2 linked regions of the Kluyveromyces lactis genome follow. The protein of the gene in region 1 purifies or fractionates together with the protein of each later gene. This does not show direct contact. Links are inferred from orthologs where the notes say so. Each region holds a gene or a part of one and is shown in the gene's direction. Other genes may lie near its edges. The genes, in order: CDC34 and MET30.

Evidence for each region.
Region 2: the proteins of CDC34 (region 1) and MET30 purify together in Saccharomyces cerevisiae (affinity purification with mass spectrometry; 3 studies listed by BioGRID, with this or other methods). This does not show direct contact. The link is inferred for Kluyveromyces lactis from reciprocal best matches to the Saccharomyces cerevisiae genes CDC34 and MET30.

What each region holds. Positions count from the first base shown.
Region 1 is NC_006040.1:771,298-774,274, forward strand, and holds CDC34 (SCF E2 ubiquitin-protein ligase catalytic subunit CDC34), read left to right. Parts: upstream 1-1,497; coding exon 1,498-2,376; downstream 2,377-2,977. UniProt on the Saccharomyces cerevisiae protein: Catalyzes the covalent attachment of ubiquitin to other proteins. Capable, in vitro, to ubiquitinate histone H2A. Mediates the initiation of DNA replication (transition of G1 to S phase in cell cycle).
Region 2 is NC_006042.1:2,544,890-2,549,056, forward strand, and holds MET30 (ubiquitin-binding SDF ubiquitin ligase complex subunit MET30), read left to right. Parts: upstream 1-1,643; coding exon 1,644-3,515; downstream 3,516-4,167. Other genes in the region: HIS1 (ATP phosphoribosyltransferase), read left to right, coding at 1-522. UniProt on the Saccharomyces cerevisiae protein: Substrate-recognition component of the SCF(Met30) complex, an E3 ubiquitin ligase complex that mediates the ubiquitination and subsequent proteasomal degradation of target proteins. Negatively regulates sulfur amino acids biosynthesis genes expression.

The sequences.
Region 1 (2,977 bases):
AGATTTCTTATACCAAGCCCTGTATTTATCTTCATCACTATAGGCATTTGTCCTATATTTTATACTGGATCTGAAATAGTAAATAGACAGAAAAACAAGAAATAATCTTCTGATTTAAAGGAAAATAAGTCAAAGAAAGTACTTTGGACGAAAACAAATTTCGGCACACAAAGAAAAGCGCGCAGACGAGAAAACATATAGCATCGAGTTGCAACTCCAACACGCCGTCGCGAGATACAAATCTTATAACGTTCCGAATGTGAGGACGGCAGGATCTCAGCAAAACATCCACCTTGAGGTGAATATGTAAGGGAATTAGGCCTGTTGAGCTATGGTGAAGTGCTGTATAGTTCAAAATGGTACGATTCAGACTTGATGAGCGTTATTGCCCTATGGCTCAGTTCGGAAAACCTTACGAGAATGAGAAAAGAAGGAGATGGTGATTGGTGTTCACGTGACCTAAGGTCACGTGAACTTTTCCACTGTTCCTATCGGTGAAAGCGGCGAGTCTAACGTTTGCTGACGCCGAGCAGAATATACTACTGCCCGATGAAGAACTAGTCTAGAGTATAAATAAGAATCTTGAACGTAACAACTGACTACCAGAGTTCTCCGATTCACATTTAATCCTAGTGTTCAGCTTATCAGTTAAAATGCACGCTCTCACAACGATGCGGTAGAAGTGATATTTTGCCGGATGCATTAGATACATTCGAAAAAATTGATGTAATTGGCCCCCGCATTCCCCATCAATTGGAAAATAAACATTCATGCGTAAATGTTGATGCCTTAAATACTGTTACTTTCATCCATGGATTATTAACGCATACCTGGTTGTGCAAATCAACATGAATAATGCCTGGGGACGAAAAGCTTACAAGACGGTAAAAAATATAGAGACATATAGCTATAGTATAAATATCGATTAAACCCCCAACCTGAACAATAGAACGGTATCTTCCAAGAGTACACAACCCAACGGTTTTTGCTTATTTTGTCTTGGGACGGTTTTTCTTGACTTTTCGGCATTCAGCTTGGTTCTTTTTTGTAAACCAGTTTCAGAAGAAATTTAAAAGGTCAAAACACAGACAACTATTAATTTTAATTACAAATTATTGTATTTGCATTTAAATGAGAGTATCAATAAACAGGTGATAAGGAGAGGTTGCATAGACTTTTGGGCGGGTATACTTGTACAAACGCAAAAACTCACACTACTCAGTTGGTATATTGTATTGTCCTATCTTTTGTTTGGCTTTACGTTTCATTACTTTTTTCTTTCTCTTCCTAACGTTTTTGTTAAGTTCTAGCAACATATTATTGTCAAATTTACTCGGAGATATCTTATCACTGAGGAACACCAAGCAACAGTTACTTCTAATCGTCAGCCCTAATAACTGAACTTTCTTGGTCTGGATATATCAGTTTTGGAAAAAGGGGGAAGTTTCAATCAGCACACAGAACATCTTTTTACCATAGAAATACTCTTTCTAAAGTATGAGCGGCAAGAATACTGCAGCTTCTTTGTTATTACGACAATACAGGGAACTCACTGATCCGAAGAAGGCTATTCCTAGTTTCCATATTGCATTAGAAGATGATTCAAACATATTCTTGTGGAACATCGGTGTAATGGTCTTAAATGAGGAATCCATCTACCACGGAGGTTATTTCAAGGCTCAAATGAAATTCCCGGACGATTTCCCATTTTCTCCTCCAACTTTTAGATTTACTCCAGCAATTTACCACCCGAACGTTTACCGTGATGGTAGGTTGTGTATTTCTATCTTACACCAATCGGGGAACCCCACCTCGGATGAGCCCGATGAAGAAACTTGGTCTCCAGTACAGACTGTGGAATCAGTGTTGATTTCTATTGTCTCCTTGTTAGAAGATCCAAATATTTCCTCTCCAGCTAACGTCGACGCTGCTGTTGACTACAAGAAGAATCCGGATCAGTACAAACAAAAGGTAAAACTCGAAGTGGAAAGATCAAAACAGGATATCCCGCAAGGGTTCGTGATGCCAGAATCAACAAAGGCGTATGTTTCCCAAAGAAAGGCAAATGAAGGTATTGACACCATCAAAGAAACCGTTGCCGATAATTTCTGGTACGACAGTGACGAAGGTGATGAAGATGTGGATATCTATGCATACGAGGATTCAGAAGATGAAGAGGATAATGACGATGTTTTCAGCAAAGATTCTTCAAACTTGAATTTCAGCAAAAAAGCTAACAAAAACGATATCGACTCAGATGAAGATGAAGATCTGGTGCCTGAAGAAGCAGAAGATTCTCTAGATGAAAGCGTAATGGATAGAAGAAGTAAATTAATGGAAGAAAGCGAGGAGTTAGAAGATGCAGAAATGAAATGATATGAATCCCTTACAACTTTTTTATTCCCTCAGAAGCAGTGCTTCTCAGCGTATCACATTCATTCACATTTCTTTCCTCACTACTGTCTTGTCTTTCTACTTCAATATACAATTATAAACACACGTTGAAGTTTGGTTACTACTGTAGTGATATACTATTTTGACCTCCAGTATAAATTCATGAACCTGTAACAACTTCAACGTCTTTATTGATTTTGTTTGGAGCATTCGCACCTCTAAATGATGATTGTCATAACCAAACATAAAACTGGAAACTGTCCTTTTTCAATTCACCATAACGCTGAATCTACATTTCAGCCCCTCAGATATTATATTGGAAAGTGAACAACTAACGATGCATCAAGTAACTAATAACTTAATAACACTTTTCGATGACAGTAACCCTAGCCGGTGCTGTGTGCAATATCTATGGAATGTTTTTTCTGGTTTTGGACCTCCATCAGGATATGAGATATAAGGGGGTTGTAAGAAAGACAAAGGAGGAAATGCCTGAAAGATTTTCAAATGGTATGAATTCGAACTTTAGAAAGTTCCTTGGAAATGAGTTCTAATTATGTGAATTGTCTTGACAACTATGCAT
Region 2 (4,167 bases), on another chromosome or scaffold:
AGTTTTGTGAATTTGACTAAAAAATACTTCGCACAATTGGAAGGTGTGCCTGAATCCGAAATGGTCACTAGGGTCAAATACGTTGGTGGATCCGTGGAAGCATCTTGTGCTTTAGGTGTTGCTGACGCTATCGTAGATTTAGTCGAATCTGGAGAAACCATGCGCGCTGCTGGGTTGACCGCTATTGCAACTGTATTGGATACAAGTGCACATCTAATCGAATCCAAAAATCCAAAGGGAGATGTTGAACTTCTCAGAACTATAAAATCAAGAATAGAAGGTGTCATGACTGCTCAAAAGTACGTCAGTTGTAGTTATAACGCTCCTGAGAACAAATTACCTGAACTTTTAAAAATTACTCCAGGAAGGAGAGCACCAACCATCTCTCAAATCAACGACAGTGGATGGGTAGCGGTTTCATCCATGATCGAAAGGAAAAACAAAGGTGATATTATGGATGACTTGAAAAAAAACGGTGCAGAAGATATCATGGTATTCGAAATTTCTAACTGTCGTGTCTAAAATGATTAGCACTTTTCCTCACCATAATTATATATATAAAATCTTATGCATGGGCACCTTATTGTATCCTTGTGTATAATGTAAGTTAATATAGATAAATTGATACAGCAAAAATTGTGACAATAGCAATATATTGCATGTTGTAGACAATATTTGAAGTCAGCATAGTAGGTATTTGACTCCTGCCTTTCAGCCCTGCATGATCGAACCAGTGTCCGTTCTTACTGATTGTCTTCGATTCTGTCTCTGTCGTTGTGGCAATTTTGATCACGTGAATGAACGAGAAAAATCCAGATAGCTTACCTCACCAGAGACACCGCTGGAAAGAACCAGAGATGAACACAGAAAAGCGCATAATGACCGAATGCACAGTAGCAGGTTACACTATACATATATAATGACTGATTTTCAAGGGAAAATGTGCCATGTTATATTCTTGGCTTTTAGTCAGATCAAAACATGGAATATCCTTGTAATAAGCCAGATAACCTGTAAAGTGTGGCTTACCTACCCTAGCAGTACAAACATATCTTTTTTTCCCATAAAGATAGTAAGAACGGATTTTAGCTAGTACTGAAATTTAGCGCAGAGAAAAAAAGTAAAAATATCGAAACTTAAACAAAACTCTTGACTGACAAAGGACTTCTTCAAAAGGAAAAACACTGCCAAAGTAAGACTTCTTAATCCTTAAAGGGGCGTCTCACTTCCCGATCTACCAATAGTTTGTTTGATTTATATAAAGCATCATATTTGTTGTATTAAGCGGTTTGGAAATTTTCAGAACAAACGAAAGATCAGCAGCGGAGAGAGCTCAGATAGGGAAGAACAACAAGTTTCGGTAAAGAAAGGTACTAGTGCTCATCATTGGTGGTGTTCTTATAGAATTTTCCTGTGAATCAAGGAAAGGAATTATATCCTTGTGGATAAGAGACATAAACGAAGGGTTTTGCAGTACTGCATCACTTTGATCACTGGTTCTGGTATATTTACAAAAGTTTGAGGAACAGAATAAACATTTTGGAAAGAGAACGCTAGGGAAGTTGTTTTGAGTCAATATACCCCATCATTTTATCTCATCAATATATTCAAATATACCATACGAGTTACGATCGTATTTCAAAATGGAGTTTAACCTTCAACAGACATGCAGACCGGATTTAAAGCGTAAGTTCGAAGATGTAGATTCGAATGGAGTGTCAGATCAACGACAGGATACTGATGGGAAGGGGGAAATTCTACGAAACAAAGCTTCCAAGGTCAATCAAAACAATGAGGAAATACAGCTTCCGAGTGAAATGCCTCAGTTCAATTTCTTTAAATTCTGCTACCGTCATAATCCAGATATTCAACACACTTGTAAGGATTCGATGGTTTTCCAAGATCAGGTACGGTCGGAGAAGTGGATGGAGAAAATGAAAGCTTTGGACAAGGAATCAGACCGAGCAATTATCAAACAAACGCTAGACAATTTCCAGCATAGCAATGATAAGATACGAAGATTAATGCTGGAAGGAATATTACAGCTTTGTTGTTTTCCCCAGCTATCTTATATTGCTGATGAGGTAAAACAATTGATTAAGATCGATTTCATTTCAACCTTACCAGAGGAACTTTCTTTGAAAATTTTAGGTTACCTTGACTGTCAGTCTCTTTGCATCGCCTCGCTAACATGTAAGAGGTGGAAAACACTAGCTGATGACGATAGGGTATGGTACCATATGTGCGAACAGCATATTGATAGAAAATGTCCAAACTGTGGATGGGGTCTACCCTTACTCCATATGAAGAGGGCAAGATACTTACCTGTAAATGAAGCACATGTCCATAATCAAAACGGCAATCAATTCCAAAATGTTGCAAACGGCAACGGGAATGAAATTGGAGGCGGAAAGTCACTAATCAATCCTGGCAACTCTCCCAACCAAACTGTTGCCGCTAGGGCTAGGAATAGCAGGTACTATACGAGACCCTGGAAAGTAATATATAGGGAACGGTTCCAAGTGGAATCCAATTGGAGAAATGGAAGATGTAGAATTCAGCTCTTCAAAGGCCATATGGATGGGGTATTGTCATTAAAGTTCAACCACAGACTGCTTTTCACTGGGTCATACGATTCAACGGTGGCTATATGGGACACAAAATCTGGTAATTTGATTAGAAGACTCACCGGGCACACGGATGGTGTGAAGGGTATTTATTTTGATGATCAGAAAATGATCACAGCTTCTTTAGACAAGACAATCAGAGTATGGAACTACATTACAGGGTCCTGTATATCAACTTATAGAGGCCACCAGGATTCTGTGCTATCGGTGGATTCATACAAAAAAATCATTGTGAGTGCTTCTGCTGATAAAACAGTTAAAGTGTGGCATGTTGAATCTAGGACTTGTTATACGTTGCGGGGCCATACGGAATGGGTCAACTGTGTTAAACTACATCCAAAAAGTTTCACTTGTTACAGTTCCAGTGACGACAAAACATTAAGAATGTGGGATATCCGTACTAATTCGTGTATTAAAGTTTTCAGAGGACATGTTGGTCAAGTGCAAAAAGTTATTCCATTAACGATCAAAGACACAGAAAATTTAGTGGTGGATGAAAAAATTGAAAAAGTACCCAACCCAGAGTTAGAAGAAGATTTTGCAGATGACTGTACAGGAATATTCGATCCGAATTTGAAATACCCTACACATTTGCTTTCATGTTCATTGGATAACACCATCAAACTCTGGGAAGTCAGTTCAGGTAGATGCATTAGAACTCAATTTGGACATGTTGAAGGTGTTTGGGATATCGCTGCTGATAACTTCAGAATTGTCAGTGGCTCTCACGATAAGAGCATCAAAGTTTGGGATCTTCAAAATGGTAAATGCATACAAACTTTTACAGGACACAAGGCTCCTATTGTATGTGTAGGAATTGGTGACAGTTCATTTGTTAGCGGAGACGAGCTGGGCGAAGTGAAAATGTGGCATTTTGATGATATTTGAGAGCCCTGTCGTAGAACCATTGGCATTGTTGCACCGATTACACTATAGCTAATGGTACAGAAGTGAAGGAACAATTGTGTTCAACATCTTCAAAACTAGCATAACTAAATACAAAAGTTTATATTGTAACTTATTTCTAGTCTCAACTGCTGCCTAAATACAGAGGCCACATAATGCCATTCTTTTTCGAACGAATACATTACTCAACGATCAGTTTCTGAAAGTTTTATCGTGCTCGGAACAATGTTTAAAATCAATGTACCTACCTGGCTTCATTAACCCCGAAACCATCAACGTTAAAAAGTCAAATGTCGAGCATGCGAAGTTGTGGAATTCGTCATTTAATTCGACCGTCGTATATGCGCGGAATCTAATTATAAGATCGCACCATAATGATTAAGATGATGAGCCTCGTTGAAACGTAACAGCGCACCGTTTTCTTCTTCGAAAGCCAAACTAACACATCTTCCATTTTTCATTGTCAACATGACCGTCTTTTGGTTTCCAGATTCTCACCAAACAGCTTAGAAAATATCGTAGTAGAGAAATGTGACTGGGAATCCTTGAAAAGAAAAGGAAAGGAAATAATAAGAAAAAAAGGGTTGTCACCATGAGCAGACGTTTTCATGCAAGGTATTAATGTTCCTCTGTT